Linked DNA regions of Schizosaccharomyces pombe. The protein of the gene in region 1 binds, or shares a complex with, the protein of each later gene. Each region holds a gene or a part of one and is shown on either strand. Other genes may lie near its edges. A codon is read from its position in the direction of its gene.

Region 1 (2,780 bases):
CACTAGCTCAGATGATAAATGTACTTCTTTGGAAAAAAAGCGAAATGAGTAAATACCTCTATTTGTATATTTGCTAGTGTTTTGAATTACATGGAAGTTGCATAATTATCTCCGATGAACTTGTTTGTTTACATAGCACAGAATCCTACATTAACCAAATGGTTTTTTTGTTGTGTATGTACTATTCTTACAATGCCATTTTTTAAAAAGCCGTATAGGAAAAGGGGAATATCGAGAACGCCATATGAATGGCTTACCTATGCTGATAAATGTGTTATTGAACTTAGCAAGTCCGAATTGAAGCCCAATGAAGAAAAAGAATTACCAAAGGACATTAAAGAAGACTGCAAAACCGTAGAAGAGAAGGAAAAGGTCGTTCCAAGGAAGCCACTGCAATCTGAAGGGATTAATGAAGACGATTCCCAAAAAAATGGAGAATTAATTGTCTTGCATGGGATTAATCACCAAGCTGCGATGTTGACAGCTTGCGGTCTTTTCATGGTGTAAGTTACGACGAAAATAATGAGTGTAAATAAACATTCACAGATGAAAAGCGACGCAAGAAGGAAAATATGCTAATCATGGTAGTACATCTTCTAACACCAACAAATGGAAAATTGCCTTTGCTTCCTTTCTTTTAGGGATGTTTTTCACACAATTTGGCTTCCAAAAAAGTGAACGCAGCATTAATGCTGAAAAGCTAGAAAGCATAGAAAAGCCTGAAAATGACAACTAGGTTGTATTAAGTCGTGCTACGGCACAGACTAGATTGCAAAATTAGCTTTCTCATTAGCAATTAAATTTTTTAAAATAAAGTTAACAGGCTCATAGATGCCTAGTTTCAACTTGAGATGAAAGCCGCTTTCAATTGAAAATCTAGCTTTTCGAAAGTTTAAAGAGCGTCTGAAATGAATGCGTATTCTTCCACTCTATATTTGTTGTAAAAAGAATTAAATTAAATCTCGGCTAGCGACGCTGATTAAATATGTATACAGAAGTACATATTCTATTAAGATTGATTTCAATGTGTAACTATCAGACTCGGATTGCCAAGTTGTTATTGTAAATCCAACCAAAAACTTCAATCAATACAAAAATACTGTCCGTGATATACATCCTAGACTAAGTTGTAAATCACAGCCCAGTAATGTGCCCTATTTTCGCATGATGAATTTATATTTAATGTTAGAATCAATTTTTCCTTAAACAATACAACAATTATTAATTGCCATTAAACGTTCAGTAAAGTCCTCGCATGTAGTTACTGCTCTCTACCCTTACCAAATGGCGTCTGCATCACCTTCATCTTCCAGAAGACTGACAAAAGTAAGTAAATTTTTATATTTTTACTTTATTCTTACATAGCTAATATTCAAATGGTAACCAGGAATATTCTGACTTGCGAGAACACCCTATTCCAGATATTCGAGTTAACCTAGTTGACGACAATCTATTTCACTGGGCTTGTACAGCTCTTGGTCCATCGGATTCGGTGTACGCAGGGGGAAAATTTCATTTCTCATTAAAATTTCCTTTGGACTATCCATTTCAGCCTCCTACTATTGAGTTTACTACCAGAATATACCATCCAAATGTAAGCATTTTATCGTATTTCTGTATGGAGTAATCATTGATCACATTTTTAAACGAGATACATAATTATTTATATATTTATGAATTTTCTAACCTGTTTAGTTTGACTCTGAAGGAAACGTTTGTTTGGCCATTTTGAAACAACAAGTTTTCAAACCCAGCATCAAACTGAGGAGTGTTTTGGAGCAAATTTTGCAACTTCTTAGGGAACCTAATCCTGACGATCCTCTTGTAGCTTCCATCGCTGAACAATATCGAAACGATCGCCCTTCGTTTGACAAAATTGCTAGGGATTATGTCGAGCAATTCGCCAAGTCTTGAAACTGACGTTGATGACGTTGAAAATATTGTATTCCAATTCCAAAATTCATCTTTGGACTTTCAATCTTCCGATGACTTTTCGATTTTAGGAATCGACCAACCGCACCCTATTGTCAGAATCGGAGGAATGTTTTTCAGAGGTACCTGGCACCAGCCGATTGGAACAGATATTGTCGTTCCTTCGGTGAATGATTCTGAACTTTCTCGTGATGGCCTTGTTCTTTGTAAAAGACGACTTATGTTGGAGCAAATACGACTTGTTCCTAAAAACCCATCGCCATCATCATCAATCCATTCTCCGACACAAGGAGAGCCTGAAAATATCTCCGAGAATTGAGCGTATCTTAGTGATGAAATTAGATTAAGAAATCTGTTGCTGAAGTTTTATGGTACATTTTGTTTTGAATTCTGAAATTCATCTGTATTTATCTCTTCAGGTATTTTACATTAAGTTGCGACAAAAGATCACTTTTAATGTATTAAGTAACTTTATACGCTAAATTTTCATACATATATGGTTATGAACTAATGAAACTTTCTTGAACCCGTAAGAACATTACGTTGTTAAAAGGAAAAATGTATTATATTCTAAGCGTATTTTTATACCGAAGTTGATAGACGTTAAATGTTGAGGACATTATTAGAGATAAAAAGATTAGATTTACATTTTGACCAAAAGAAGGAGGTTGATTGCTCGTTTCAAGAGAAATAGAAAATGCAACGATATTTGCCAATTAAGTAATCGTATTAAGGCTTCCACATGTATTCTGGTAAATTCAACTTGTACTCTCCTAAAGACGTTTGGTAAATTTCGACACCCTCTTCTTCCAACCGATCCTTCTGTCTCTGTTCACCAGCAGAGATAT
Region 2 (4,332 bases), 3.8 Mb from region 1:
ACCTCTTCCAAGTGAGGCCACGCTGGCTCCAAAAAAGGCTCATCGTCTAAAGCAAACATATCTGATGAATAATCATTAAGAGCAGGTGATATAGGCCGAAATACATTGAGGGAAAACTATAGTGATTAGATTTTTACAGTAATAAAAAGCAGAGGAGTAAACATACTGTATTGACAACATAAGGAAAAAGCGATGCGGAAGAAATACCGCGGTTTTCAGACACATAATCTATCATTTGTAATAAGGCTTCTCTTTTTATTTCTTTGCTAGCCAAATCGGAAGATGGATCATTAAAATCGAAAATAATATTGCATTGTTCAAGCTTCTTTATAAACAGTTCTTCACGTTCAGAGGTATGAACATCTAATTATATTAGCACAAGAATAAAAAAAAGTACATTATTAAAATAAGATATAAGAATCTTACTAAACGTACCATCAAATGAAGGCAACCGAACTAATGTTCTTTTCTCAGATACTTGAAATTGAGAGGAGTGTTCGCGTCGAGGTACTGGTCTAAGACTATGCGGAATGTCAACATTCTCAGCACCTGCTAAAAATTTATTTAAGGGAGTTGGCTGTGAAACTAAATAAGGAGGAGTGGATTGTGGGACAGATAAAAATGAGGCAGAAGATATGGAATCATTAGGAAATTCGTCTATGTTAGACGATACAGAATCCTACAAGTAAGTTAGTATGAAAATAATCATTTTGGTAGAAAATATTAAACTAACCGACGTATACTTACATTTTTTGGTTCTGGATAATTAGGTGGGAAATGGTTGGCGTCTTTAACTTTAGAAGTTTCAATTACGGGCAAAAACGTAGAGTAATCAGAATCCTCATGTCCAGATGCTAGAACCGTCGTATGTATTTTTTTATCAGAATTTTCATGTTTTTCATTATTTGAGTTGGCATGATGATTTCGTTTGTGCTTTAAAGTATCTTTTAGGAAATGACTCTTAAGTTTTTTAAGCTCGTGTTTTGAAGAATGGTGAGTGTCTGTGTGCTTCACGTCGTCAGTTTCCACGTAAGACCCATTTTTAGAGATATAGTGGCTTTTTGAATGACCATTTTTATGTGACCCTTGTTCATCCTTCAACGAAAGTGCTTTTACAAATTTACTCCTTAATCCTTTCATTAAAAGGCAAATGAGATGATTTCCTTGCTCAATTGCAAGTTATAAAGATAGCGAATAACCAAATTTAAAAAACGAATGATTCCTAGGATTGGGACCGAATGTAATTTCGAAACTTAAATGAATGCACCTATTACTGAATATGTAAACGTTGTCTTTCTTCAAAAGAACGTCTGTTAATAAATTTGTACACAATGATGAGTTAGAAAAGGGTAAATTTATGTGGTGGGTAAATAAATGATTTGTTCCTTTCAAGTACTCCGTAAATATGTCTCGGCAAGTCAAAGAGTTAACGGCAACAACCTCGGTAACAGAATTCTGAGCCCCTTTATAAGATGGGTATATAAGCTAAACACCCTAGGGAATAGTTAAGAGGGTTAACCTTGAAACTTCCTGTAATGACAACTTTACTATGAGTTATGTTTGGCAAATGAAGCAAAACGGGGCGAGTGGCTCGAATGTTATGGGACGCTACCGAAGGCTGGTAGTATGAAATAACGTACTTGGGAAATTGGCTGGTACTGTGAATTAACGGATCGGCAAAAATCTTGTGTTATGATGTTACTGTATTGTTGTACGATGTCCGAGGTTTGGAACAACATTATTTTAGCTGCCAAAAAATTAAAATGCTTTTGAAGCAATGATATTGATGTGTATCAATTAATTTTTCATTTGAGGAATAAGTTATCCAGATTATTAATTAAATTACTTTAAAAGCAAATATATATAAAGTCTTTGCCCTACTTTTTCCAGTGTTTTATAGCATACCATATTAGGCATATATCTTATGAATAGTCTAAAAATTTCTGACAATGAATATGCACTCATTGAGCATCCGGGCTTTGCTAATAACAAGGATGCATTTTTTCAGACATTAGGCGGTGTTCAATCAATTCAAAAGGTAAATTGCTAAAAAAGTATAGGAATGACCGGCTTACATCTTTAAGCTTCCCCTTTTATAAAACATGAATTTGATAATCTTTTTTGACCTAATACTAACAATTTCTAGGCATGTCAAACTTCATTTCAAAACCCAAAACAAGCTCTGTTGGAGTTGAATCTAAGGCCTAAAGATAAATACCATCATCCAGTACAAGCTCGAGTGCAATCCAGAAATGACCTATTAGTAACGATTAAAAAAATGGACAACTCTGTGCAAAATGTCAGTAGAATTCGTCAAGTTTTCTTATTCAGAGATATGGCTGATTTCCAGTATAGTACTCAAAATTCACCATTCGTTCAAAAATTAGATTCCACTCTGCGAGTGCTTGACTATAACGCCATTAATAAGTTTTCCATCGATCTAACTCCGGTACAAAGAAAACATGTCGACATGCCTCCTCCTCCTGTTTTCTCTCAGACAAGTCTACCCATGTCTTATAACTTCTTGCAAAATCCACTAGTAGGTCGAGTTCGGCTACCTAATGGGAAAACTACAATAGTCAATCTAAAAGGTCAATGCAGAGTTTGGATTATCACTACAAATATGGGGGTTGAAAGTGTACCTACATGTAGACACTCAAAATTAGGTGAGCCTTCGAAGACAATTCAGGAAGTTATAGAAGCTTTAAAACCTCTTTTTGAAAAACGACCCGTTTGGACGAGAAGAGCCTTATTAAATCATCTAGACCCGTCATATACTCACTATTTGAAATTTGCTCTTCCTTACCTTTCTTATTTATGGACTTCAGGTCCATTTAGAGATACATATACGCGGTTTGGATACGATCCTAGAAAAGATTCTAATGCAGCTGCTTACCAAGCTTTGTTCTTTAAACTCAAGCTAAATGGAAAACATAAAGGGACTAAAACTCACGTGTTTGATGGCAAGACTTTGTTTCCCACTAATCGTGTTTATCAAGTGTGCGATATCGTAGATCCCACAATTGCACCACTACTGAAAGATACTCAGTTACGTTCTGAATGTCATCGGGACACAGGATGGTATAGAAGCGGTCGTTACTATAAGGTTAGAGATCTTATGCGTGAAAAACTCTTTGCGCTGATCGAAGGAGAAATGCCTTCTGAAGTCGCGGTGAATATGATTTTAAACGCCGAAGAGGTAGAGGAATCTGACAGATATTCGAATTTTGATGAACAGGATAATACAGATTTAAATGATACTGTTAGAGGTTTGAATACTTCAGCAACAGATGATCGGATAAATGATTTAATGAGGAATTTAATGAAGAGAAGTCAAGAACATGAAGGCTTTGAGGATTTAGAGGAAATTGATGATGACTACGATGATATATTTGGTGATTGAACCCCCCCCCATGTCAAGGTACTTCGATACAAAAAATTATACTCAACTTAAATTTCATTATATTCTTTTTTGTTTAACTGACCATGGTAAATGGCTTGTAAAACATAACTTATGAGTAGGTTTCAACTATCAATTGTTTCTGATCTTTAATTCTCATTTTTTAATTCTGAAGTAGCTCGCTTGATTTTGTGGTTACAAATGTCAATAATTTTATCAGATGTTTAATCTTACAGCTGCTTAGTGGTGCGCTAGTCGATTGCCCCCGGATGAACCAAACAATAATACTACGCTGCATAGCGCAATTTAAAGTACATATTTTTTCCTGACTTGTTAGTACATAAACTGAGCCAACCTATTTGGCGAGGTTGTAATTGTATCTCCATTCTACTATTTCAATAGTACTTTTGGAGTTTGTATCATTTTAGACGAAAATGTTGGTTTATTATGGTGGATCTGCCTTGAGCGTTCAGAGTAAAAAAAAAATTTTGGAACTAACAGTTTCTGGAGTTTCTGATCTAAATGCTGTTTATTTCTACTTGATCTATACTAAGTCCAATTCTTCTTTAAATTGCGAAAGTCTGCGACCAATTTTGTCTGATTTGCAAGAATCTGAATTCAAGCCTGATGGAACAACGATGGTATATGTGTTTCCACGTCCAGGAACAATTTCTCCTTGGTCATCCAAAGCAACGAACATTGCCAATGTTTGTGGATATAAAGATGTGATTCGTATAGAGAGAGGTATTGCCTATTCAGTAGTTTTTAAAGATGACATTTCAGAAGAGATGCTTAAATCTGCTTTGAATCATCTTTATGATCGCATGACTGAAGCTTTAAGATTTAAACTTCCGGAAGAGGATGAAGTTTTTGATAAGCACGAACCAGCTCCACTTGTGAGAATAGAGCTTAACTGTGGGCAAGGTGGTGAC

Evidence for each region.
Region 2: the proteins of sfc7 (region 1) and sfc1 are in contact, whole or in part, in a crystal structure (PDB 4BJJ), measured with the Schizosaccharomyces pombe proteins. Residues at the interface, in NP_001343039.1 of Schizosaccharomyces pombe: Ser7 (codon at 1,907), Leu8 (codon at 1,910), Thr10 (codon at 1,916), Asp14 (codon at 1,928), Val15 (codon at 1,931), Glu16 (codon at 1,934), Asn17 (codon at 1,937), Ile18 (codon at 1,940), Val19 (codon at 1,943), Phe20 (codon at 1,946), Gln21 (codon at 1,949), Phe22 (codon at 1,952), Asn24 (codon at 1,958), Ser25 (codon at 1,961), Ser26 (codon at 1,964), Leu27 (codon at 1,967), Asp28 (codon at 1,970), Phe29 (codon at 1,973), Gln30 (codon at 1,976), Ser31 (codon at 1,979), Ser32 (codon at 1,982), Asp33 (codon at 1,985), Asp34 (codon at 1,988), Phe35 (codon at 1,991), Ser36 (codon at 1,994), Ile37 (codon at 1,997), Ile40 (codon at 2,006), Asp41 (codon at 2,009), Ile49 (codon at 2,033), Pro61 (codon at 2,069); in NP_593297.1 of Schizosaccharomyces pombe: Ser3 (codon at 1,931), Leu4 (codon at 1,934), Lys5 (codon at 1,937), Ile6 (codon at 1,940), Ser7 (codon at 1,943), Asp8 (codon at 1,946), Asn9 (codon at 1,949), Glu10 (codon at 1,952), Tyr11 (codon at 1,955), Ala12 (codon at 1,958), Leu13 (codon at 1,961), Ile14 (codon at 1,964), Glu15 (codon at 1,967), His16 (codon at 1,970), Pro17 (codon at 1,973), Gly18 (codon at 1,976), Phe19 (codon at 1,979), Ala20 (codon at 1,982), Lys23 (codon at 1,991), Phe26 (codon at 2,000), Phe27 (codon at 2,003), Leu30 (codon at 2,012), Val33 (codon at 2,021), Ile36 (codon at 2,030), Gln37 (codon at 2,033), Cys40 (codon at 2,150), Phe44 (codon at 2,162), Arg73 (codon at 2,249), Asn74 (codon at 2,252), Asp75 (codon at 2,255).

Annotation. Positions count from the first base shown.
Region 1 is NC_003424.3:5,097,321-5,100,100, reverse strand, and holds sfc7 (TFIIIC subunit Sfc7), read left to right. Parts: upstream 1-1,888; coding exon 1,889-2,251; downstream 2,252-2,780. Other genes in the region: protein mug95, read left to right, coding at 115-503, 589-736; ubiquitin conjugating enzyme Ubc14, read left to right, coding at 1,285-1,326, 1,388-1,594, 1,696-1,914; alkyltransferase-like protein Atl1, read right to left, coding at 2,662-2,780.
Region 2 is NC_003424.3:1,332,736-1,337,067, reverse strand, and holds sfc1 (transcription factor TFIIIC subunit Sfc1), read left to right. Parts: upstream 1-1,734; 5' UTR 1,735-1,924; coding exon 1,925-2,038; exon of another isoform or gene 2,039-2,094; intron 2,095-2,146; coding exon 2,147-3,403; 3' UTR 3,404-3,721; downstream 3,722-4,332. Other genes in the region: serine/threonine protein phosphatase PP2A regulatory subunit B-56 Par2, read right to left, coding at 1-116, 167-363, 436-679, 748-1,140; phosphoribosylformylglycinamidine synthase Ade3, read left to right, coding at 3,835-4,332. UniProt on the Schizosaccharomyces pombe protein: TFIIIC mediates tRNA and 5S RNA gene activation by binding to intragenic promoter elements.